Linked DNA regions of Tamandua tetradactyla. The protein of the gene in region 1 purifies or fractionates together with the protein of each later gene. This does not show direct contact. Links are inferred from orthologs where the notes say so. Each region holds a gene or a part of one and is shown on either strand. Other genes may lie near its edges.

Evidence for each region.
Region 2: the proteins of DPF2 (region 1) and SMARCC2 purify together in Homo sapiens (affinity purification with mass spectrometry; 8 studies listed by BioGRID and IntAct, counting the BioPlex papers as one, with this or other methods). This does not show direct contact. The link is inferred for Tamandua tetradactyla from reciprocal best matches to the Homo sapiens genes DPF2 and SMARCC2.
Region 3: the proteins of DPF2 (region 1) and ACTL6A purify together in Homo sapiens (affinity purification with mass spectrometry; 5 studies listed by BioGRID and IntAct, counting the BioPlex papers as one, with this or other methods). This does not show direct contact. The link is inferred for Tamandua tetradactyla from reciprocal best matches to the Homo sapiens genes DPF2 and ACTL6A.

Annotation. Positions count from the first base shown.
Region 1 is NC_135335.1:9,219,392-9,227,202, reverse strand, and holds the start of DPF2 (zinc finger protein ubi-d4), read left to right. Parts: upstream 1-4,059; 5' UTR 4,060-4,153; coding exon 4,154-4,185; intron 4,186-7,811. UniProt on the Homo sapiens protein: Plays an active role in transcriptional regulation by binding modified histones H3 and H4. Is a negative regulator of myeloid differentiation of hematopoietic progenitor cells. Might also have a role in the development and maturation of lymphoid cells.
Region 2 is NC_135333.1:123,238,558-123,246,368, reverse strand, and holds the start of SMARCC2 (SWI/SNF complex subunit SMARCC2), read left to right. Parts: upstream 1-3,201; 5' UTR 3,202-3,256; coding exon 3,257-3,367; intron 3,368-5,449; coding exon 5,450-5,569; intron 5,570-6,130; coding exon 6,131-6,216; intron 6,217-6,660; coding exon 6,661-6,742; intron 6,743-6,843; coding exon 6,844-6,936; intron 6,937-7,560; coding exon 7,561-7,630; intron 7,631-7,811. UniProt on the Homo sapiens protein: Involved in transcriptional activation and repression of select genes by chromatin remodeling (alteration of DNA-nucleosome topology).
Region 3 is NC_135331.1:77,895,368-77,903,178, forward strand, and holds the start of ACTL6A (actin-like protein 6A), read left to right. Parts: upstream 1-2,930; 5' UTR 2,931-3,093; coding exon 3,094-3,118; intron 3,119-7,811.

The DNA.
Region 1 (7,811 bases):
TGGCTTAGGCTCCAGGATAGACAAAGGCACCGGGATGAAGGGCAGAAGAGCTGTCATGGGGTGAAAAGAGCATGCCTGGGCCTCTGGATGTCACCTGGAATCTGGCCCAGGCTGTGAGTCTCAGTTTCCCCATCTGTAAAATGGAGTCCATGATATCCACTTCACAGGGTTGGTGGGAAGAGTACAAATGATGTCTATTAATTGCCACATGAAAGGTCTTCAAAAATGGTTTGGGGGTGGAAAGGCAGGACTTTGAAGCTGGAGAAACAGGTTTGCATCAACTTATAGGAGTACAGCTTGTAAGGCTAAAGCTGAGGTACTGGGGAACTGCAGAAGGACTTTAAGCAAGAAAGACACACGATCAGACCCACACAGGCCCAAAGATGAGAGAGGAGGAAATCGTTGCAAGCCGGCTGGGCTGGGCCGTGGGGAAGGGAGGGGTGCTAAGGCGCGGCTTGGTGTTCGGAGGCCAGGGCAGGTCTCCACTGGACCCTTTCTATTCTCAGGCCGTTCTCTCCATCCTGTGACCCTGCAAATCCCAGTCCCCCACCCACCCACCCCAGCCTTTCTGGCCTCCAGAAAAAGCTGTGTGGACCTTATTTCCAAATAAGGTCACATTCACAGGTACTGAGGGGATAGGACCTCAACATAACTTTTTGGGAGACACAATTCAATGTGTCCTCTTCTGTCTTGGGAGAGGAAGACAAGAAAAAAGGACATTGTCCTAAGGTCTTCACCCAGCTGGATGGCAGCACCTTACCCTGGACCTGAGCCAGAGTAGTCGTGGAAGCAAGGGGCATGCTTGCCCTGGATTCCCTGGGACCTCTCCCCACCCACCCTGCATCAGGCAGCAGCAACCCTGGGGAACCCCTTGGGGCTGCCCTATCAGGGTGGAGAAAGGTAAGGGACCTGCAGCAGCTGATGCACTGAAAGGATGTTTGCTTATATCAAGGGAGCCAGGGAGAGGGAGGAAAAACAGCCTTCCCTCTTCAGCATATCTCATAGGGTTCAGGTACCATGTTCCACAAATACACACAAAAACGGATTTCAGAACTAAGAAGAGAAGATGTCGTTGGAAAGCCAAAAAAAGAGAAATGTCCCTACAATCCACTGTTCTGAATGTTCAACATGTCCTTATTCGAGTTACCCTTCAAAAAGAGAAATAACATATCTAGCCTACCTAATATAATGCAGTTATCCCTATCTCCGTAAAAACACTGTCACTCGTTTGTTTGTTGGATATGGAATGTGTGTAAATAAAATTCGTTTTTAAAATACATTCGTTCTTTTTCCAAAGGGAGAAACTCAAAGTCTGGTCAATTATCACAGCCCCTTCCAAGTCCAGGATTTCTAGGCAATATGCCTTCTTCCTTCACTCGTCCCTTATCAGCCCATCTCAATATCTTGCAAATTATGAAACTACATTGTAAGATGAATTAATACCAAGACAAAGTGGGGGAAAGGGAGAAAAAATCTGGAATTAGAATATGTTTAAATAAAATACTTGTTGCATCAAGAGAAGAAATACATGTACAAGTTATGGACTTTTTCTACCACAAAGCTGTAGCCACCCAGTCCACGAACTCTTTATCCTCCATCAGCATCTTGGCCGTCAGGGTCCTTTACCAGCGATGTGTCTCCGAACTTCATTTTGAAGTAATCTGAGCTCTTGGTGGATTTCCCTGTAGAGAGTTGACTTTTCCCCAGAACATTTAGTTTTGAAACATTGAAAATAGATTCACGAACATTCCTATACCTTTATCTAGATTGGCCAGTTATTGCCATTTTGCTACGACTATTTTAACACTCTGGCCATCAGTGGGGACCCTCTTTACTTTCTTGCCTGGTGGCACTGAGAATGACCCATCGGCAGTCTCAGCTTCTAGGTTAGTGGAATCGTTATTGCACCCTCTGGTGGAAGCATTTCTCCCTTGGGTCAAAATCTGACTCTAAATCAGCCAGAGCCCAAAGTTGGAGGAACAGGAAACAGACATTGTGCAAAAGGATCATTAGTTGAGACTGCAAGGGGATGAGTCCCACTTCTGCTCTTTGGTTCCCATACCCACATATTCTGCCTGTAGGAGAAGCACTATATTCTGTGTTCAGAGATATGACATTTCTTAAAAGGATCCTAAAAGTACTGAAAGTCATTGATGCTGGGCTCAGAAACCGGCTTTCCCATGATGTAGAACTAGCCTACTAATTATTACTCATATTTGTAATTTAAACTTTTAATTGAAATATGCATAGAGAGGAGTGCACAAATCTTGTGCAGATCAATGATTTTTTACAAAGTCAACAAACCCATGTAAAGAAAAAGGACATTAGCAGCCTCTCACAGCCACCTCGTACCCGCTTCCCAGTTATCATCTGTCCAAAGATAACCACTCTTCTGACTTCTGGCCCCACAGTCAGTTTATCTGATTTCTTGTGTAACTATGTGAATGAAATCATATAGTTTGTCTTCTTGGAATCTGGCTTCTTTTGTTCAACATTAAGTTTTTACTATTCCCTCACGTTGTATAGCAGCAGCTTGTCTTTTCCATTGATGTTTAATCCATTCTACTACTGTTGGTGGATATTTGGGTTGTTTCCAGTTTGGGGCTATTATGGAGACTACTGCTGTGAACATTCTTGTCTTTTGGTGTATACATCTAGGAATAGAATTGCTGGATCATAGGTATGCTGAAGCTGTGAGTTTAACTTTAGTGCTAGCATACTTTCGACTCCTGTGTTGGAGTCACTTTTGATGCCCCTTGTCCCCACAATCGTTTGGATCTCAGAGGTAAAAGAGTGCACCGGTGTTGCCTTGGGGTTTTTCTTCCAAGGTGTGACAGCCATTCTGCAAATTCTGGTGCTGCTGCAGAGAACAGCATGATAACTCACACTGTCATCTGGCCAAGTACCATTTTAACACACAGTGATGGCAGAATGCAGCCTGATTCTGAAATAGTAAAAGGGGTGGGGGGTGGTAAGTGCATCTTGGCATTGATAAGATATATCGGAAAAATAATGGGGACCAAGGAGCAAGCCCTGGGGAGTGTGATGGTTATAGGTGGGCCACAGAGCTGGCAAAAGACGCCAAAGGGACTGTCGGACAGCCGTGAGCGTGTGATGTTTCAGACTGGAGAAGCGTTCGAAAAAGGAGGAAATGGTCAATGGTGACACCAGACTGCTAGGTGGATGAGGACAGGAAACAGCCCTCCAAATCTGTCGCGATGGATGTCACAGTGACTTTGTGAAGAGCCGTTTCAGGGGCCTGGTGGGTACAAAACTTTCATTAAACCAGCCAGAAGAGAGCCATGGAAATAAAACAGCAGAGATGGGGGAATAAGGGATTATTTGCTTTGAAGGGATGAAAAGAAAGGGAGTGATAAGGGAAGCAAACATGGGCTTAAGGAAGAGCTTTTGATTTTTTTTTTTTAAATAAGGGGACATAGAGCCATGCTTGTACGCGGAGGAGAATGTTTCACAGTGCAGAAATGAATGGTACAGAAGAGTGAAGGATAATTACAGGAGGGAAGTTCTTCAGAGTCTATGTTGGAGGGAATAAAGTTTTTTGAGGAGTAGGTAGGGACTGGTCTTAGGACCGGGGAGAAGAGGTGGGTACCAGAGACTTTCGGTGGGAGGGTTTGGTGGCAGGAAGATGAGGTAACTTTTGTCAGACCCCAATATTCCGGCCAAACAAATGTCCAGCTCTGGATGTTAACTCCCTAAAATGGACACACGTTTGTGGGCAAGAGCGGACTGTGAATGTTCTTATTTTCAGTTAGCTGCCCACCAAGCTCTGACCTAGGGCAAAGGGTTAAACATGAGGTTAAAGGTCGGCTTCGGGGAAAGACGTAGGTGCTCCCTACAGCCCTTTCTCGGGAGGGGTCTAAATGGAAGAGGCGCGGCTGGGCTGGAGCAGGAGCAGCGGGGCGCGCGCCCGTCTCCCGTCGCGCCTGCGCGTTGGCTCCCTTCGGCTCCCTCACACTGTTTCTCCCCAGCCTGGGCGAAGTTCATTCCCCCTCGCTCGTTCTCGGGCGCGCGCGCGCGCCTGGCCAGCGCCTGCGCAAAAGAACGGAGAAACTCGCCCCCACCCCGAGCGTGCCCGGCGCCTGCGCGCTGCGGGCTCCCGGGCCTCCCCTCCTGAAGAAGAGGAGCAGGGAAGATGGCGGCTGTGGTGGAAAATGTAGTGAAGCTGTGAGTGGTCGTTTCTTTCTCCCCTAGATCGGGAGGTCTTGTAAGGGGCTTGGGAGTGGAGGCGGTGTGGGGAGGGGATGAGGCGGAGAGAGAAATATGCCTGGGAAGGCCATGTTGCTACTCCTGGCGGGGGAGGGCAACAGAAGACTCCGGAGAAGACGTTGCGCTTCTTTGGAAACTTGGGAGGCCCTGTGGGGGGCACACGGGAGCCCCTTACGGCGGAGTCTCTGTGGGGCTGTGTGGACTGAGCGCTCCTTCAGGGCTGACGTAGGCGCCCTTGCAGCCTACGAGAGGTCCGCAGGCTGAGGCTCTCTCCCCGGGTCGCCTCCGTCCGGAGGGGCTGGGCCGAGGCCCGGGCGGCCCAGGCGACGGTCCGGAGCCCTGGAGTTGAGCCGCTTCCCCGCGACTCCCAGTCGCTGCCCGCAGCCGGCCCCCGAGCAACAGGCTCCGGAGCCGCTGAAGGGGAAAAGGGCCGTGGGGCTGTTTGATTCTAACAGCCCCATAACGTCGGGGTACCTTGGGTGTCTGCTACCCAGGACTTAAGATGGTAGTGGGAAGAATTTGTTGGAAAGCAGAAATGAAAGAACTTCAGAGGAGCTGGCCTTTGTGCTGGCCATTCCCAGCCATCAACAAACAAACAAACAAACGGGAACTGGACGGGAGCAGTCCAGGACGACTTTATAGCCTGAAGGGACATCTGGGTCGCCAGTCTTCTCCTATGCTGTACCATTGTGCTGGTCAGTTTTCGAACAGAATTAAAGTTGATGGTTGGGAGAGAAATGGAGAATGGCCTGTTGGTTGCTTCCTGTGAGTTAAAGATGCTTTGGGGCTTGATTAATCCAACCTCCTTCCTGAAGAAAGGATTCTGAATGAGGTTAGAAATGTCTTAATGCCCCGTGGGCCGGTAGGCAAGCTGTTTTTAATGGATAATTTGGGCTTGGTGCAGGAGTTGGAAAATTGAGAGGCATCCACCTGTCCAGCAAGCCGTTTAGATTTTGAGAACTATTCTAAGTTTAGGTTTGGGAACTATTCTAAAGGACTGACAGCTTCTCTGTCTTTGTCATGGGCTAAGCCCCACATTTCCCAAGAGCCTTTTTAAAGGATATGTTGCTTCTCCCCAATGCCTGGAGCTTTTCTTCTCCCCCCTGCCTGGAGTTTCCCACTTCCATTAAGCTAAGTGCCTTCTCCTCTTGTGGTTCTTTTTTTTTTTTTTTTTTTTTTTGACTTGCTTTCTGCTTTATCCTGCTACCTCTTTCAGCCACCCCTCCTCCCAACACATTATCTTTCTCTCTGATCTGCCCACTCTAGTTTCCCTGCTCTCTCTTCAGGCTGACATTTTCCTCAATTTAGCAATGACAATGTTGATCTGCCATTTATATAGTTATCCTTCCTGACTCAGACGTTCTGTCTTTGTTTCTCTGCCCTTCTCATTGTTGACTCCCCCACTCCCATTCTAAGGGAAGATGTTATACAGATTTCCCGCTTCCCAAGAGTCAAAGCGGCCACCTTGGAAATCTTGCTGTGCCGAAGGAATGTCATGCTTGCCTAGGTTTTGAGAGTTGTAGGTAATGAGGGTCTTTGTGTTGGAAAACTTTCTTCAGGGAGACAGGGTTGCCAATTATTTCCTGTGTTGTCAGAAGGTAGTAGCAAATAGAGCATGACTTCTCATTTTTCTTTAAAGACCTGTAGAGATTGTGAGGGTCACCAGCCACTGATTCCTGAGTATGGATAATAAGAAACCCACTTTCCCCTCCTCAGTTCTAGCTGCAGAAGGCTGCAGACCACAGTTAATACGTTTCCCCCGGCACCTCCTCTTTAAGAGTAGGTGTCCATTCTTCCTGTCCCATTCTCACCCTGCAAAGAGTTGCTCTTCTGGCACTTCTCTTGATCATGTGTGTCCTGTCTTTTGACACCTGAGGTTATATCCAGCCAGGTATTTTCTTGCTTGCATCTTATTCTTGAGAGAATTTTCCTATTTGTGAATTCTCTGTCCATCCTAAATGGTCTCAGGATTGAAACAGTCTTTAAGGAATCTTACCAAAGAGAAGCCAAGATAAAATGATAGTATTAAAAAGCTGTAGCTGCTGACAGATTTTGAAACGGAATTAAGTAACAAAATCTGGGAAATTCTGTTTGCTTGGAATTTCTTGCTACAGGAGCCCTGAGTTCTTAGAAGCTCTCTTTCTCCCTTTCTTGCTTGCTCTTCATTAGATCCTCCCTGCCCCTTAAATATTTCATTCTCAGCCCTCATACCCCCTTTGACAGTTTACCCCACCCTTTGAAATACCACTTAACTCACAAGAGCTTTTACAGAACATCTCTCATCCATTCCTCAGAAACCATTTCTAGCCTCCTTGCTCTGACTTTGCAGCCCTCAGCCGGTCTGCCCTTCCTTCCATTTGGCTTCCAAGTGTCAGTATCAATTCCCATCAGCAGAAACAAAGGAGCTGCTGCACTCAGCCTTGTTTATCCAATTTCCCTCTGTGGTGAGGACGTGGCTGCCTCCTAAAGGCAAGCAAATGTGAGCCTGCTCCTTTCTCACCATTCTCCAACACAAGGTTTGTGCCTACCTCAAATTATGGTAATTATAGCTTATTGAATCAAGCCAGGCTGTACTTCTGGGGTCGCTGTCTGTGTGTGTGGTATGTATCTTTTTCAGCTGCTGGGCACACACTAAGCTGTGCTGTATTTTCCTGTTGCACTGCACTCAATGAAAGCCCCCATCAGATTCCAGAACAGAGTTTGCTGGGGTAGCTAGACTTATGGACATAAGCAATAGAGACTTGGTCTGTCTAGCTTCTCATACTAGGAGTCCCCTCTCACAGGATCCTGATATGTCAAAGCTTATCTAGTCTACCCCCCGCACCCCCTGGTCTATAGACTAGAAACATGAGGTCCACATAGGTTGACGAAATGGCCATGTGTATGTGGTGACCTGCAGCCAAACCAGGTCTTTTTACTCTCAAGTCAGGTCTGACCATGTACCAGACACCTTCATGGGTACTGGGGTTACAACTGGGAAATAAATCACCTCAATCCTCAGTTTGTTTTGTTTTAAGGTAGATCAAATATAAATAAGTATTGTTACAGTTAGGTTAAGCTCCAATATGAAAGCACTTATTAAACCCTGGAAGGGAAGAACAAAATTGATTCCACATGCATGTTTCTTGTAACCAGACAATGCCTGGTCCTGTGTAGTTTTCTAGCTTTTTAAGCACTTAAATGTTTTCCTTTGATTTGGATTTCAAGTTAATCGTTTTGAGTCGAGAAGATTCTTTCCTATGTAATTTGATGGTCTGGAAATGTTGAGGAACCTAGGATGGGCCTTAGAGCTCATAGGTTTTGTATTAGCATAGTCCTCGATCAAAAATAGGCTCAAGGAAAGTTCGGGTCTTTGCAGATGCCTTCCATATACTGTTAATGTAATATATAGAGAAAATTAATTGGCTAAATATTTAGTTCACAATCCAAAAGATATTAAGAGGCATATAGGGGAAAATCTAGTCACCCAGTTTTTCTCCCTAGAGGCCTGAAGTTTCTTTTCCTCCCTCTTTGTTATAGAAATGGTAGCATCCTGTAGTACTTCCTAGCACTATACCTTGCTTTTTTCCCCAAAATTATCTTGA
Region 2 (7,811 bases), on another chromosome or scaffold:
AGCTGGAGGCAGAGGGTATGCATTTTATTTGCAAAATAAGAGGAAGTAGAAAACAATGTGATTTGGCAGTGTCAAGTGAAGGTGTGATTTTGTTCTGAATTCAGGAAGGATTGATCCAGAGGAGTAGGAGAATTTGAAGGTGTTATGGAGGGATGCTTGTGGAAAATTCCTTAGGAGGTTGAAATGATGGGAATAGAAGGTTGAGGGCAGATGAGCAAGGCCAAATACTGTACCAGGAACTCAAGAATGCCGGTGAATGTAATGTAGTAAATACAGAAGCGTGGCAAGAGAAAGGGGACCAGATCATGCAACACAAAGATACAAGGACAGAATTTGCAGGGGAAAGGTGAAAGAACTGGGGCCATGGAGATGGTAAAAATTTGGTAAAATTTTTGGAAATTATCTATTATTCATGAAGATAGAGGTAACACTCAAAAGTTAGTTACAAGGGAGGCATCTGAGAGTGAACAGGATAGTCCCCAAGTGCCAAACCCCGTATGCCACATTCTCCTTCTCAGTCCAAATCCTCCATTTTGTAAACCATGGAGCTGCCATCCCTTCACAACACAGTTATTGGTTGCCCTCTGCTGGTCAATTTTGGTCTTGTTTTTAAGTCTAAGAGTATGAGCAAAATGGTATTTGGTAGGAAGCAGAGCACTGAGCCTACTAGATTCTATGAATTTATTTAATACATATTTGATTACATCTACAGATAAGGCATTGTGAAAGACAGCCTAAGTCTAAAGAAGTCCAGTCCAAGTGACAATTAAAACATGTACACATAATTACTGTAAAAACATCCATTTATTCAACAAATATTGTTTTTGTTTTTTGTTTTCATTTTGTGGCTTATATGCGCCTGAGTTTATGTTCTATACTTCAAATAATAAAGTTAAGGCATAGGATATGTTCAGCAATATCTGATCAGGGAAGACTCCCCACGAGAACCAACATTTAAGTGGAGGCTTAACCAACATTTAACCAACATTTGAGTGGAAGGTGAGAATGAGAAAGAGCAATTCATGCAGAAAACAGTACAGGCAAGGCCACATACTATAGCAGAAGTTAAAAGAATGGCAGTGAGTGAAATATAGTGAATATGGAAGAGTGGTGAAAGAGGCTAGATCATGCAAGACAAAGGGCAGACAAACAGCAGCCATCAGGGGCTTAAGGTCTCAGGCTATAGTACCCATCTTTAGTGCAGTTTTAAATTAACCCTACTTTCCTGATGAAAGCCCAAGTACCTTGGTGTAGTATGTGGTGGGCTCAGCCTGCACTCACACCTGAAGGAAGTAGACAGATTTGAGACATATTTAGAAGACAGAATAAGTAAGACTTGTTTTTATATATTTTATGGAGGCATGTCAAGGGAGATGCCTTGCATACAACTCAGGAATGGTGGTAGTAGACCAATAGGTTGCAGGTGAAATGATGAGGCACAGCAGAGAGGGGCTTAAAAGATATGATGATGGGAGAAGAGGTGGGCAATGGTGAGGGCAATCCACAAAACAGCATGAACAAAGGTATGAATGAACTGACACAAAAACATTCTCAACAAGCAGCCTAGCTCTTTCCCACAACAGACATTAGAGGATAGGAAGAGCCAGGTGAGGTGAGGACAGGAGCCTTATAGGTCCTAGCTTGGTTAATATACAAAGAGAATTTAGAACAGGGCCTGGCACTTAAGGAGAACACAAAAAGTGACAGACAGTTAACTTCCCAAACCCTGGCTCCAGCTCTTTAGTGTTTGTTTCAATAGGTTCCCCCAACCCCAGCTCTGTGATGCCTGAGGTTTATCTCCTCAAGAACATCTGAGTGAGAGAATGTCCTGTTTCGTGGGTTGTCAGTGTAATAAAACCCACAAAGTGTAATATAGTAATGGAAGTACAGAGGTGCCCTCTTTTCCTAGAAACTCTAGGTTTGACTATCATTACAGAGAAAAGCACTCACATTCTCAAACAAAATTGAAACACCCCTCTTCATTCAAATTCTTTACTACCCTCTCTCACAAGAATGAAACTTGCGCCGAACACTCTGCTGGCAACACAGTTAATAAGACTTAAAGTGCCGTGTAGCCTAGCAGCCAATACAACTGTGCATAATTAAGCTTCCTGTGACTTCCTTCCCCATACTGCTCCACCACCACAAGAAAAAAAAGAAAAAAAAAATCCAGAGGTGAAACCTTTGGCTTTCCTTTCCGAGACAGAAAGAGAAGTGCAAGAAAGTCACTTTTGGGGATTGGGACTCCCTTTATGAGTTGTGAAGGTAAAGCAAACAAAAACCGCTGCCGTCACGAACAGGATTCGAACCTGTGCGGGGAAACCCCATTGGATTTCGAGTCCAACGCCTTAACCACTCGGCCACCGTGACTCCCAAAAATCGCGCTTTCCCGCGCGCTTACAGAAGGGATTCAACTTCTGACCCGGCAAGAAGTACAACTGGAAGCTAGGACCCGACCCCTCTGCTGTGGCCCTCCCTCTTCTTACCTCCTCTTCGGCCCCTCAAAGGAAAAAAGTCAGGTGGACAAGATGGTTCTGGAAGGTAGGGTCTCCCGCCTAGCATAGAGGGGTCTCAAGGAGCGAAAACTATTTAGGATTTGATAGCGGGGCCTGAAGAGGAAGCAGTTGGTGGGAAGGGACTAGAACTCCAGGGTGGCGGCCAGGGAACTCCTCGGGTTAAAGGGTGAGAGGACGGTCCCTGGACAAGACGTCAAGGGTGAGGGATCCTCGAAAGTTTAAAGGGAGAGCTGCTGGGGAGGGATGAAAGGAAGAAACCTTTTGGGAAAAGGCGTTTGAGCTTCTGTGGAATTAGAGATGTGCAAGGATGAGAAAAACTCGGGGCTCCAGGGTTGAGGGCGATGGACGTCCCCTTGAGGTAGAATAGAGAGGTTCCCCATCCCCCGGGCAGAGGAGGCCAAAGGAGAGAAAGGGCTTAGCGTCAGTTAAGGAGCGATCTCAGCAGAGTGGGCGCCCCCTCCAGGAAACAGCCGTGTCCCGGGAGATTCCGGCTGCCGCCACCGCCGCCGCTGCCACCGCCGCCGCGGCCGGGAAGGCCACCGGGGTCGGTCCACGCGTGGGGCCAATCTGCCGCCTCTGCGCCCGGCCTGCCGGCAGGGGGCGCTACGTGGGCCGGGGTCGGCCGTGGCGGCGGGAGGCGGCGGCCGCGGCGGCGGGAGGCGGCGGGAGGCGGGCGGAGGAGGCGGGAGTTGAGCTGAGCGGGGCGGGCGGCGGCGGCGGCGGGGCCGGAGCCTGAGAAGATGGCGGTGCGGAAGAAGGACGGTGGCCCCAACGTGAAGTACTACGAGGCCGCGGACACCGTGACCCAGTTCGACAACGTGCGACTCTGGCTTGGCAAGAACTACAAGAAGGTACGCGGCCCCGGCGGGCAGGCCCGTGGGGGGTGCTGGGGGCGGGACAAAGGGGCCGTGGCCCCGAAGCCCCTTCCCGGATCTTGCCCACCCTCCTGCCGCCTCCGGCTCCTGCCCGGCGGCCTTGAGCAGTTCCCAGGCCGCTCCCGGTCCCCGCCTGGCGCCCTGCGCCCCTGCCCCAGCCCATTTTACACCCCCAGCCTCTGAATTCAGCCCCCGCATCCCCCTCTGCCCCTTGTTTTTCTCCATTGCCCCGGTGGGCCCGATGCCAGCAGCCCATCCTCTCCGAAGCCATCGTTTTCCCGGCTTCTCCGAGAGACAGCTAGGGGTGGACGGGGTCGGCCAAACGTGCCCGCCACAGTGCGCGCCAGAGCTCCCCACGGAGCCAGGTACCAGCAGGGCTGAGGCCTCCCTGGTGCTTTGTGTGTGTTGAGAGAGATGATGAAAGCGGGAGGGTAAATGGTCATAGAGCAGGCCCCTAGCTACTCATCACCCTGAGAAAGGCCCCCAACCCAAATCACCTGTCTCCCGGCTCCTCACCCCCCACCTCCGTCTAAGCGGCAACAAACCTCTATGGGTACTAGTGTATTAGATTTCCTGGGCAGCGGCCCCTTCTTAAACCATTCCTCACCTTCATAATGAAGTCACCCTGCAAGCTAGTCTTGCATTGCATTGGCTTTGGGGTTCAGAACCTAAGAGGAGTTCCATTCCTCTAACCCTCCCCATCCCCATCCCATAAGTGGAGGTGATAAGGTAGTGAACAAAGGGTTCAAGAAGCTTTACCTGTCTTTTCCACCAAACCTCTTACTGGTGTCTTTGTCTTTAAGCCTGGTGACAGGAGCAGCTATACGAGAGGGTTTTCTCTGGAGATGATCTGCCTCTCTTCCTTCTCACTACCCCCCAGAAAGAGAGTTAAGAGCTCTCTTTCTGGCTTTCTTTCAGCCTCCTAGCTCTTCCTGCCCAACTTTGCAGCCTGTCAGAAGTGGAAGTGTGATGGGTGATTTAGGGGGACTCCCTCTGTGATCTTGGTTATGAGTCTGGCCCTGTTCTCAGGATCTCTCTCTGACAAACAGCTGCTGGATCTGTGCTTATCTTCACCCCAGTGTGAGGGTCTTGTTCCCAGGCTTCTACTTTGACTTTTGGAAGAGAGATCAGGCTTTGGGCTTAGTCCCTGGCCCTGGGGAGATTGACAGCCTGTGACCTGGTTCAGCTTTCATGCTCTTAGCTCTTGTCATTTACCTTTTCACTCATTGATCTCCTTACACCTCCCACTGAGATGAGCTCTCTTCTCTGTGATTAGGGTTGAGGAAACAGAGGTCAAAAGGTAAAGAGAAAGTTAGCTTTCTGGCTTGTTTTTAACTTAGAACAGAAGGCTAGGTTGCTAGGTAGCTTAATATGGCTATGGCTAAGAAGGCCCTGAGTTGCATCTCAGATATAGTTTCCTCATAAAGGACAGATGTTGCATTACTGTTCCTTACTGGAAAAGTAGTAGCTGATCCTTCCCATCTAGGAGTGCCTACAGCTAGCACGAAGACATTTGTACCCACTTCCTAGCAGAAGCCAAATGCATATTCTTTCTGTCTGCTTACCCTACCTCACTTCCTTGTGCCTCATTAAGCTACATTATAGGGGGAAACTTGGCCTTCCACAAAATTCCCCCAAGAAATACAATGTTGGCCTGCATAGTGAGCCCCAAAGATATTGCTTCCCTGGCCTGAACTCCATATACCTTCAGAATTTTAGAACCCTTGGTGTTCCTGACTGGAGATCAGGTGTCAAGATAACAGGGTCCTGTAACAGGGTCCTGTAATTTCAAGGTATTGCTGAGGGAAGAGTAGGAAGTTTCTTACATCTCCAGCACCCAACACTAGCAATCTGGCTAGTGGAAGGAGGAATTCAGCTTCCTGATAAGGGTTGATCGGGGCCTTCTTTCTGCTACTTTCTTTACAGAACTAGGCATCCGAGGAGAAAGGCACTATTTTCTCTGCCCTAGATGCTTCTAGAACTCCTGGGAGAGAAATATGGGAGGTGGTAGATCATTTATCTGGGGTCTGTTTTTCTTTGCTTTTCCCATTTCCCTAGTATATACAAGCTGAACCACCCACCAACAAGTCCCTGTCTAGCCTGGTGGTACAGTTGCTACAATTTCAGGAAGAAGTTTTTGGCAAACATGTCAGCAATGCACCTCTCACTAAACTGCCGGTGAGTGCAAAACCAAGGTATACATACTCCAAACTGGAGAGGGAATTTTACTTTTTTGTATATTTGTAAATTTTATACTTTTTAAAGTTTGGGTCATTTACTACCATTCCTACCCCTTGTCAGGGCATCATTGGCTTGGTCTAGTCCCTAATTTATTATTCCTTTTGTCTTAGTAATACTTTGTGCAACAGGTATGAGATTTGGATTTGCTTGTGTTCAAATCTTGGCTCTGGCCCTTGGTGGCTCTGTTATCTTGGACAAGCCATTTAACCCTTCTGAGTCTTAATGCCTTCATCTCTAGTTGGGAATAATAATACCTACCTTTTAGAGTTTTTGTAATGATAAATGTGGTACTCCTGGAAAGTGCTTGGCACAAGGTGATGCCTTATGAATTTTGGTTTCTTTCCCTTCTTTCTTCTAAGCCACATGATACAATAGCACAAGGGTTAAAGAATTCCATCTTAAGAGGGTGATCAACATAGAATTTTGTGAAAGGATTGTTAGCTGATGAGAATTTAAGATATAACTCTCATAAACTTCTTTCTTGTCTCAATTTTGTAGATCAAATGTTTCCTAGATTTCAAAGCAGGAGGCTCCCTGTGCCATATACTTGCAGCTGCCTACAAATTCAAGAGTGACCAGGGATGGTGAGATGCCTTTTCTCTATGCTTCTTATGTTTAATTTAGAGAGAATCCCCTTTTATGATTCCCTGGAATCTTTCTGGGGTGGGAGAAAATAGGTAGAAATCCTCGTGAGTCTCTTGCTTTGCTAGGTCAGTAGGCCTGATTTACTAGGTCAGAAAAATCAGAACCAAAATAGTCTCCAAGAGTGAGCAAGTATATACGTGTGTATATCAGTGGGTATAGGGAATAGGATTCTTAGGTTGCCTTCTCAAGCTTTTCATAATCCTTTTGGACTAAGCACAGGGTGATTCAAGGAATTGAGATCAGTGAATCCCAGATCCCAGGTGATTTTGGCAACAGCTGTGAGCAAAAGCACCTCCTAATTTCCCATATTAAGAAGTCACATACACTAACCTCATCCCCAGACCTCAGCTATACCATTCACTAGATTATTGCCTCTTTGCAAGGCGGCGTTACGATTTCCAGAATCCATCACGCATGGACCGCAACGTGGAAATGTTCATGACCATTGAGAAGTCATTGGTGCAGGTAATGGTCGCGAACCTCCCCCATCCATTTCCATTCCTTCACTGAGACTCCAAAACAACTCTTCTCCATAATGTCATCCCATCTGTTTCTCCTCCCCACAGAATAACTGCTTATCTCGACCTAACATTTTTCTGTGCCCAGAAATTGAGCCCAAACTGCTAGGAAAATTAAAGGATATTATCAAGAGACACCAGGTAAGTGGGTGGGTCAGGAGAGGTCTCATAAACTATGACTCTTTTCCTGATGTTTTCCATACAAAGCAGGAACCTTGAAATACCATGTTTTCTACCTTTAACTCAGAGGTGGCTCTACCTGCTTCAAGAAAGAATTGAGTTAAAGCCCTGAGCCTCTCTTTTCCTCCTGTTTCTCCCATTTCCCAGACTTAACAGGTTTTGATCACTGGTCCTAAAGACTGCATTGGCTAGGGTCGAGGGTGGGGGTGGGAAGCATCCACTTTCACAGAGCTGGAGATCACTTAATTTTAAATAAATGAAATGCTTGCTCTTCAGAACTTTATAATAACAAGCAGACATCATTGATATGGATATACATTTGATTTTAAATTGAAATTTCCCATGTATAGTTTATCTGTTCAGAGGATTATCTGCAGTTCTTTGACTTTTCTCCATTATGAGCACAATCCCAGCTGTTTCCCTCTGCCACTCAGCTGGTGTGTGTATAGAGAATACAAACTAACTTTTATACCATCCTAAGCAAACTATGAACAGGAAGCCAGATCTGTGGATAAATCTTGCTTTCGTTTATTTACCCCCACTCAGAGGGGACCATATTTACCTGTTTTTCCCTGCGCCATCCAGGGAACCGTCACTGAGGATAAGAACAATGCCTCCCATGTTGTGTATCCTGTCCCAGGGAACCTAGAAGAAGGTGAGGCCTGGGTTGCCCTGGCCACTAAGGCTTGGACTAGGAGGTAGAGGACTTCCCAGATCACCTGCAGGGCTTGGATTCCTCTCTCCTTTCAACCCTGAATCCTTCTACCCTCTAAAGTTCCTGTTACCAGGTCCCATGCTTTGATAGGAGAATGCTTAAAGTTTTTGTTCAGAGTTAT
Region 3 (7,811 bases), on another chromosome or scaffold:
CTCTGTTGTATTTGTCTTATTACATATTTCCTGTAAATTTTCCTAGTTGGGAAGAACAGAAGAAAACAAGCTTGCACACTGTAAGTCTTGCCTCAGAGGAAACAATGTCAGTACTACACAGAATGTGCAGTCCCCAGCATTGTTCTCTTAGGCTGCTGAATAGGTTTCTTATTTCTCAATTTTCCTTTTTTCCAACAATTCAATACTTCAGGGCCAATCATCTTCATGCCATAATACACTGTTTAGTGATTAAATTTTATGAAAGGCTTAAGTGTGCACTTTTATCTGATCAGCCCTGACACATCAGATATACTGTGCAGTTAATTTCATTTGAAGTTCATTTCAATGGTTTATTATTAAATAGAAACAAGAGTCCAATGATACATGAAGGAGTAAGCTGACCTAGAGGTAAGGATCTGTTTTTAAATATTTTTCCAAATTATCTAATGGGGAAAAAAATCCTTCCTTTCAAAGCAAAAATACCCAAGCATAACTTTTGAGTACATCTTGAACTGCTCCTGGTGTGGGCATGGTGGCAGGAAACAGTCACAGCATTTCAAACTTCCCTTTAGAGCACTGCAACTCAAGGGAGGGTGGGGGAGTTGTCAACACTGCTGATCTGTTTCGTTTCTGGTAACTCTGAACTGGTAGGACAGACATTTCACTCTTTGCCAGACTAGACAGCTATTTTTTTTCTAGAATATGTTCTCCTACATGCATGGGAGATAGTCTTGATGACCAATATCCATATATAAAATCAAATTTAAGTTACAGTATATGAATTACTATGCATTTGAATGTAAAATTTAAATGGATTGTAGCATATTATAAATTCACAAATATTATCTCTTCAATATTTAATTATTCAAGACCAACCCATCACAATTTTTTTAGGTGAGATAGAACATATATATAAAAAAGCAATAAATTTCAAAGTACATTTTAACAAATAGTTATAGAACAGATTTTTAAGTTTGGCATGGGTTACAGTTCCACAATTTTTTGTTTTTTTCTTCTAGCTGCTCCAAGACACTGGAGACCAAAAGAAATATCAATATAATGATTCAGCAGTCATATTCATTTGTTAAATCCTATTTCTTTGCTATACTCCTCCTTCTCTCTCTCTTTTTCTTTTTTTTTTTTGTGATAATAGATTTACAAAAAAAAACAGTAAATTTCAGAGTACATCGCAACAGTTACTTGTAGAACAGATTTCAGAGTTTGGTATGGGTTACAATTCCACAATTTTACGATCACAATGTTTTATAGGTCATCAGCTTTATCAGTCAAACATAAAAACAGAGTGGAAGTAAAAATGATTTGGGGATTTGATATGCTAGAATAAGAGCTGTAAATAAGGGACAACTATTAAACGAGGTGTACTGTGCTCAGTTTGTTACATGCATTGTTTCAGGACTAAACAAACTTTTTCCTAGTAAATATTTCAGGCTTGGTGGACCACATGGTCTCTGTTAGTTACTCAACTCTGCCTGGATAGAGTGAATACAGCCATAAATGGATGTTTGGCTGTATCACATTAAAAGTTAGTTTATGGTCACTGAAATTTGAATTTCATATAATTTTCACATCATAGAACAATTTTTTTTTTAAAACCATTTAAGAGTGCTTAGCTCACAGGCCATGCAAAGACAGATGACAGTTGGGCTCTGGCCCATGGGCCAAAGTTTGCTTAACCCCTGCATCATCTCACTGGGTCAATGGAAATTTCTTAAGTGATATAATATACTGTGATACAATCCTACTGGGTAAAGTGAATGGGCCAGGGTTTTCTCACTAGTTTTGTTTCCCACCCCATTCTCCATCACTTCCTGCCACCCTACAGCACCATCACTCATGAGTCTGTATTCAATTTTCATCAGTTTAAGAATAACCCTAAGTATAGATTCTAGACCTGCCAATTTCAGAACTGACTTCAGCTAGAAGGCTATGCAACTATCTCACAGGTGTGAGCAATGGAGAGACATGAACAGATTTGGGCATCTTTCTTTCTTAAAGAATAAAATATTTTACGAACACAGACTTAAAACTTTATTTAAAATTTTTTTATTAATTAAAAAAATTAACAAACAAACAAAACAATAAGATATCATTCCATTCAGACTTAAAACTTTTAAACAAAATATTTGCAAGCCAAATTAAGCAATCGAAAAGGAAGATACATCATAACCAAGAAGGATTTATCCTAAGAACACAAAGTTGATTCAATATTTGAAAATCAATAAATGAAACTCACTATTCCAGCAAACTGAAAAAAGAATGAAACATCATATGGTCATGTCAACTCTCAGAAAACTAGGTATTCAAGGCAATTTCCTCAACCTAATTAAAGACGTTTATTAAAAACCTACAAGTAACACCAAAGTCAACGGTAAAAGACTGAAGGCGGATTTGGGCGTTTTTAGAGATCAAACTGCTGCCAGCCTGGAGAAGCAGCAGAGCGACAACCGTTTGCCGTATCCAGGGACAGGCAGCGTCTCAACCTCAGACTTCGATGCCGGAGGTCTGCCTTCCTCGGCTGCCCTGGGCGGCCCCCCCCCCCCCCCCGCCCCCCGCCTTCCGCCCCCCGCCTTCCGCCCCCCCGCCCTCCGCCCTACCTCCTTCCCTCCCCTCCGGTTCTCTCTCCCTCCCTCCCCTCACCACCCCTCCATCCTCCCTCCCGCCCTTCCCTCCCCCCTCAACTCCCACCTCCCTCCTCTTTCCTCCTTCTCAGGCTCCCTCGGCCCCGCCCACCCTGCTAAGTCCCGCCTTCTTCAGCTCCGCAACCTAACTTTCTGCCCTTCCGTCGCTCTCCCCCCTCGCCCCGCCCCTATGGCGGCCTTCGATTGGCTAAACTAACGGAGCTGTCGCAGGGACACAGCAAGCCTTGTTCTGATTGGCCGGCGGAAAAGGCTGGCCCGCTCGCGACTGGTTGATGAGAAGAGCCAGCAAGTGTGATTGCGCGCCGGTGTGCGGCGCCGCTTTGTTGCTGAGGGGCGGCTGTGAAGTTAAGGGAGGGGGCTAGCGCCTCCCAGCCTCAGCCGGACACGTCCCTTCACCTGGCGGCTCCGCGTAGGGGTCGCGCCAGCAGCGGCCATGAGCGGCGGCGTGTACGGGGGAGGTGAGTGAGCGCGGCCGGGGAGAGCACCTTGTGTGGCGCGGGCTGTGTAACCGCCGGCCGGCCCTCCCTCCCGCCCCCTCGGATCTCACCCCGGACCCCAGCGCCCCTGCCCCGGCTCTCGAGGAGCAGGCGCCGACCTTGGGTAGGGGCGAGCAGCGCCTACCAGGGTCCGAGCCCGGCTCCAGTCCCCATCCCTTCAGGGGCGCGCTCGGCCGCGTCGCCCAGTGTTTCTAGGTCCTGGTGTGTAAAGGCCTGGGCGGAGGGCTGCCTCCCGGCCTAGCGAGGGCGCGCGACGGAGGGGCGGGCGCACCGGACAGCGCGGGCTCCTCCTCCCCATTCTCCTCCTCCTCGTCTTCATCCTCCTCGTCCTCGTCCTCGTCCACGTCCTCCTACTCGTCCGCCGCAACCTCCTCCGCCTCCTCCTCCTCGTTCTCCTCCTCGTCCTCCCCCTGCCCCTACTTCTCCACCTCCTCCTCCTCCGCCGCCTCTTTCTCCCCCGCCTCCCCCTGCCCCTACTTCTCCACCTCCTGTGTGTCCGCCTGGAGCGGCCTCCTACTCTTGCCCCTACTCCTCCCCATTCTGTTGGCCCAAGTGGAGTGGCCTCCTCCTCCTCCCTCTCCTCCTCCCGCTCTTCCCCTTCCTTCTTCCTCCTCCCCCTACTCCTTCTCCTCCCTCACCTCTCTCTCCTCCTGTTAGTTCACATAGAGGGCTTGCTCATCCTCCTGCTCCTTCTTTCCTCCTCCTCTCCCTCCTCTCCCACCCTTCCTCCTCCTTCTCCCCCCTCCTCTGCCTCCTCCTCCCCCTTCTCCTTCTCCACCTCTCCCTCCCTCTCTTTCTCTGCCTCCTGGTCCTCTTCACACTCCTCCTCCTCCTCCAGATCCATGTGGAATGGGCGTGGCCTCATGTCCTCCAATAACGCCTGGCCATGTTCACTGGGTTCTCTGGAGTTACGTGGGCAGGTCTGTTTAGGAACACGTGTGACCTAAGGGTGCCGGTGTGATGCATAGACCAACAGCCAGAATCACCTGGGAGCTTTTTGGAAACGCAGAATCTCAGGCCCCATCCTCAGCCTTCCACTGAGCCTTCATTTTTAGAAGACCACTGGCAGACTTGAAGCTCTGATGTCTGTGATTTGTGTTCTGCATTGTTTGATGAGTTAGTGGACAAGGAGACAAATTGGAAGTATTACTGTTATTGTTTCTGGAAAGGATGACATTTTATGAGTAGGGGATAAATAATGTTTTCACAGTTCTCAGTAGTTTTTGGCCTGTAGTTTGTGTCTCTTCTGAGTGGAGTACAGACCTTTGCTCTCTCTCCACTTACCTATTTGATTTTGATATCTGAATGATGGGAATTTGGAGAAGGCATCGTGGATCCTCACAATTACTCTCCCCCTAGCCTGAAGATGCAAGCTTGAGAGAAAAACTGGGTCATGTATGGTTTAGGTATTTGTAATAAACATCCTGTGTCTTGTTGGCTTATGTAGAGTCTTAAAGATCATTTCACAGTTAAGTGTTTAGAATTCACAAAAAATAAATGCATGTTTTATGATTGAGCTATCACTGTTTCCAACATTTAGAGTGGGTCTCCCTTTTACACATGTTGTCCATGTAAAAGCAAGCAAACCTCTCACCTAAATGTTGTGTAAATAACTTACTAGACTATTTTTTTTTTACTTTTTATTGTACAATATAACATATATACAAAGCAAAGAAAGAAAAAAGCAATAGTTTTTAAAGCACTCTTCCACAAGTGGTTCAGATCCCAGAGTTTGTCATGGACTACCATATCATCCTCTCAGATTTTTCCTTCTTTCTGCACCAGAGTATAAGGGGCTAGAAGAATAAATATATATATTTTTTTATAATCACAATTGACTTTTTTTTCTTTTTTGTGAAAAATAACATATATACAGAAAAGTAATAACTTTCAAAGCACAGCACAACAGTTAGTTGTAGAACAGGTTTCAGAATTTGGTATGGGTTAAAATTTCACAATTTTAGGTTTTTACTTCTAGCTGCTCTAATATACTGGAGACTAAAATATCAGTTTAATGATTCTGCAGTCATACTCGTTTGTTAAACCCTACCTTTCTCTGTATAACTCCACCATCACCTTTGATCTTTCTGTCCCACTCTTTAGGGATATTTGAGCTATGGCCATTCTAACTTTTTCGTATTGGAGGAGACTGTCAGTAATAAGGGGTAGGGAGATGGAACCAGCGATGTTCTGGAGAGGCTGGGCCCTTTAGGTTTCAGGACTTATGTGGTCCAGGAACCTATCTGGAGGTTGTTAGGTTTTTAGAAAGTTACCCCAGTACATGGAACCTTTGTAGGATCTTATATATTGCCCTAGGTGTTCTTTAGGATTGGCTGGAATGGTTTTGGGATTTGGCAAGGTATGATAGATATATGTCTAACTGAAGCTTGAGAGTGACCTCCAGAGTAGCCTCTCGACTCTATTTGAACTCTCTCTGCCACTGATACTTTATTAATTACAGTTCTTTCCCCCCATTTGGTCAGGATAGAACTGTTGATCCCACAGTGCAGGTCGGGATTCATCCCTGGGAGTCCTTTCCCACATCGTCAGGGAGACTTTCACCCCTGGATGACACTACGTGGGGGAGGGCAGTGATTTCACTTACAGAGTTGGGCTTAGAAAGAGAGAGGCCACATCTGAGGAACAAAAGAGGTCCTTCTGAGGTGACTCTTAGGTATACCTATAGGTAGGCTAAGCTTCTCTGCTACCTACTTAAGCTTCACAAGAGTAAGCCTCAAGATCAAAGGCTTGGCCTATTGATTTGGGTGTCCCTAATATTTGAAGCAGTATCAGGGGATTCCCTGATGGTAAAGTTTAATAGTTCCATATATTTTTTTCCCATCCCTCAAGGGTTGACTGTATTTTTCACCTGCTTGCTTATTATTAAACAGCTCCTTCTAGTTTAAAATCTAAAATTTATTGTTGTCTTATTTTAATAATTATTTCTGAACAGATCTGACATCTGTCTTTAGCTCTAGGTGTAATGCATAATTCACTGGGGTTTCCTTATCTCCCAGCTAGTTGCTGGGCCTACTCACTGCTGTTTGTTATCTTTCCCTGTACTCCTCTACTTCAGGTCCCTTTGCATGACAGAAGTAAACCGGTATGCCGTCCACTGTAGCCCAACTTTAATAAATTGTTAGTGTCATCACTCTTTCCCCGCTTTCCTGCCCGAATCTCTAACCTTAATCATTTCTTAGTCATCTCCCCCATGAGTTGAAATTACCAATCCTGGCTGTGTCTTCATCCACACAAAAAAATAACCACTTTCCTGCACCCTCTCAAAATCATTAGTCATTAGTATCCTGTTGGAATGTCTTAAGACCAGGTTAGAAAATTACCATCATTTTCTCATGTTTCCTCAAGAAAATCCCATTACCCCTAAAATTGGAAGCCATTTAGTCTGGGTAAAACCCTGAAAATCCTCAAATAAGTGGAGATAGCAGTGTTTTTAGTGGAAAAGGATCCAGTCATTGAGGATTTTTTTTTTAATCCATTGGAAGTTTCATCCTAGGTTTTAAACATTCAGACCTCTGTGGTTGTGATGTTAAGCTTCCTGTCACTTTTCTACTTTAGGTTCATTGGTGCATGAATCAAGGGAATTTGAGAAGTATTTAGGAGCTGTTTTTCCAAATTTGACAGAACTTGCTGAGAGGTATGAAAAAGATGTACAGCATGCCTCTTTGACAGGCCACCAAGTGCGATAGGGAATGCTGAGAGATGAAGTAGGCAGGTTGGAAGGCAGTGCTTCACATATGTTCAACTTCATATACCCATGGGACAGCAGGTAGAATTGATATGGATGTAGGATAAGAAGTTCAGGATCTAGATCTGGATCGAGGTTAGGGTTTAAAAGAGAGACATTTGAAATTAGGATTATCAGTGTTTAGATAGAAATTGAAATTTTTAAGGATGTTGGGGAATCACCTAGGAAAGGATAAATTGGGGGAGCTGCTGCTAATATGAAGTCCATGGCCTTCCCAGGGAGTCCCTCGTTTGAACTGTATTTTATAATAATTGATTTCTTTTGTAATCTGTTTTAAAACATTCTGAGAACGGATTCATAAAAAGTTGAAATTTTTGGTTAATCAAGTAATTAATTCATTTAGTGAGGTTATTTCTTTACCCAGAATTCTGGTTACAATTTTGTAACCAATTCATATTAGCCAATCTGTTCGTTGGTGTGCATTGCCTACTATTTATACTTGACATATGTGATAAGGTGAAAATGAATGCAGTATTTTGTTCTTACAGACCCCTAGACAAAATGATTAGGGCTAGAGAGTTTTACAGAGAAGGGTTAATTACATTGGAAAGTGTAATAAACAGAAATTTCATTTCGAATTATAAATAAAACTAGGTGTCTCTTCATTTTATTTAAATAAAAATGGAGCTATTACTTTCCAAAGTCACCATCTCTCAACTGTGAATATTTGCAGTGTAATAATTAAATATACCAAAAAATAGTATGTATGTAAGCATGATTATACTTCTATACTTACCACTGAGATTAAAGATATATTTTGCCATATCTGCCTCATAAAATGTTATTGATATAGATTCTTCCTCTCTCCTCAGAAATAACCACTGAACTCAGGTTGGTATGTAAGATTCCCATACCCCTGGCATATTTTTATATTTTAACTATATGTGT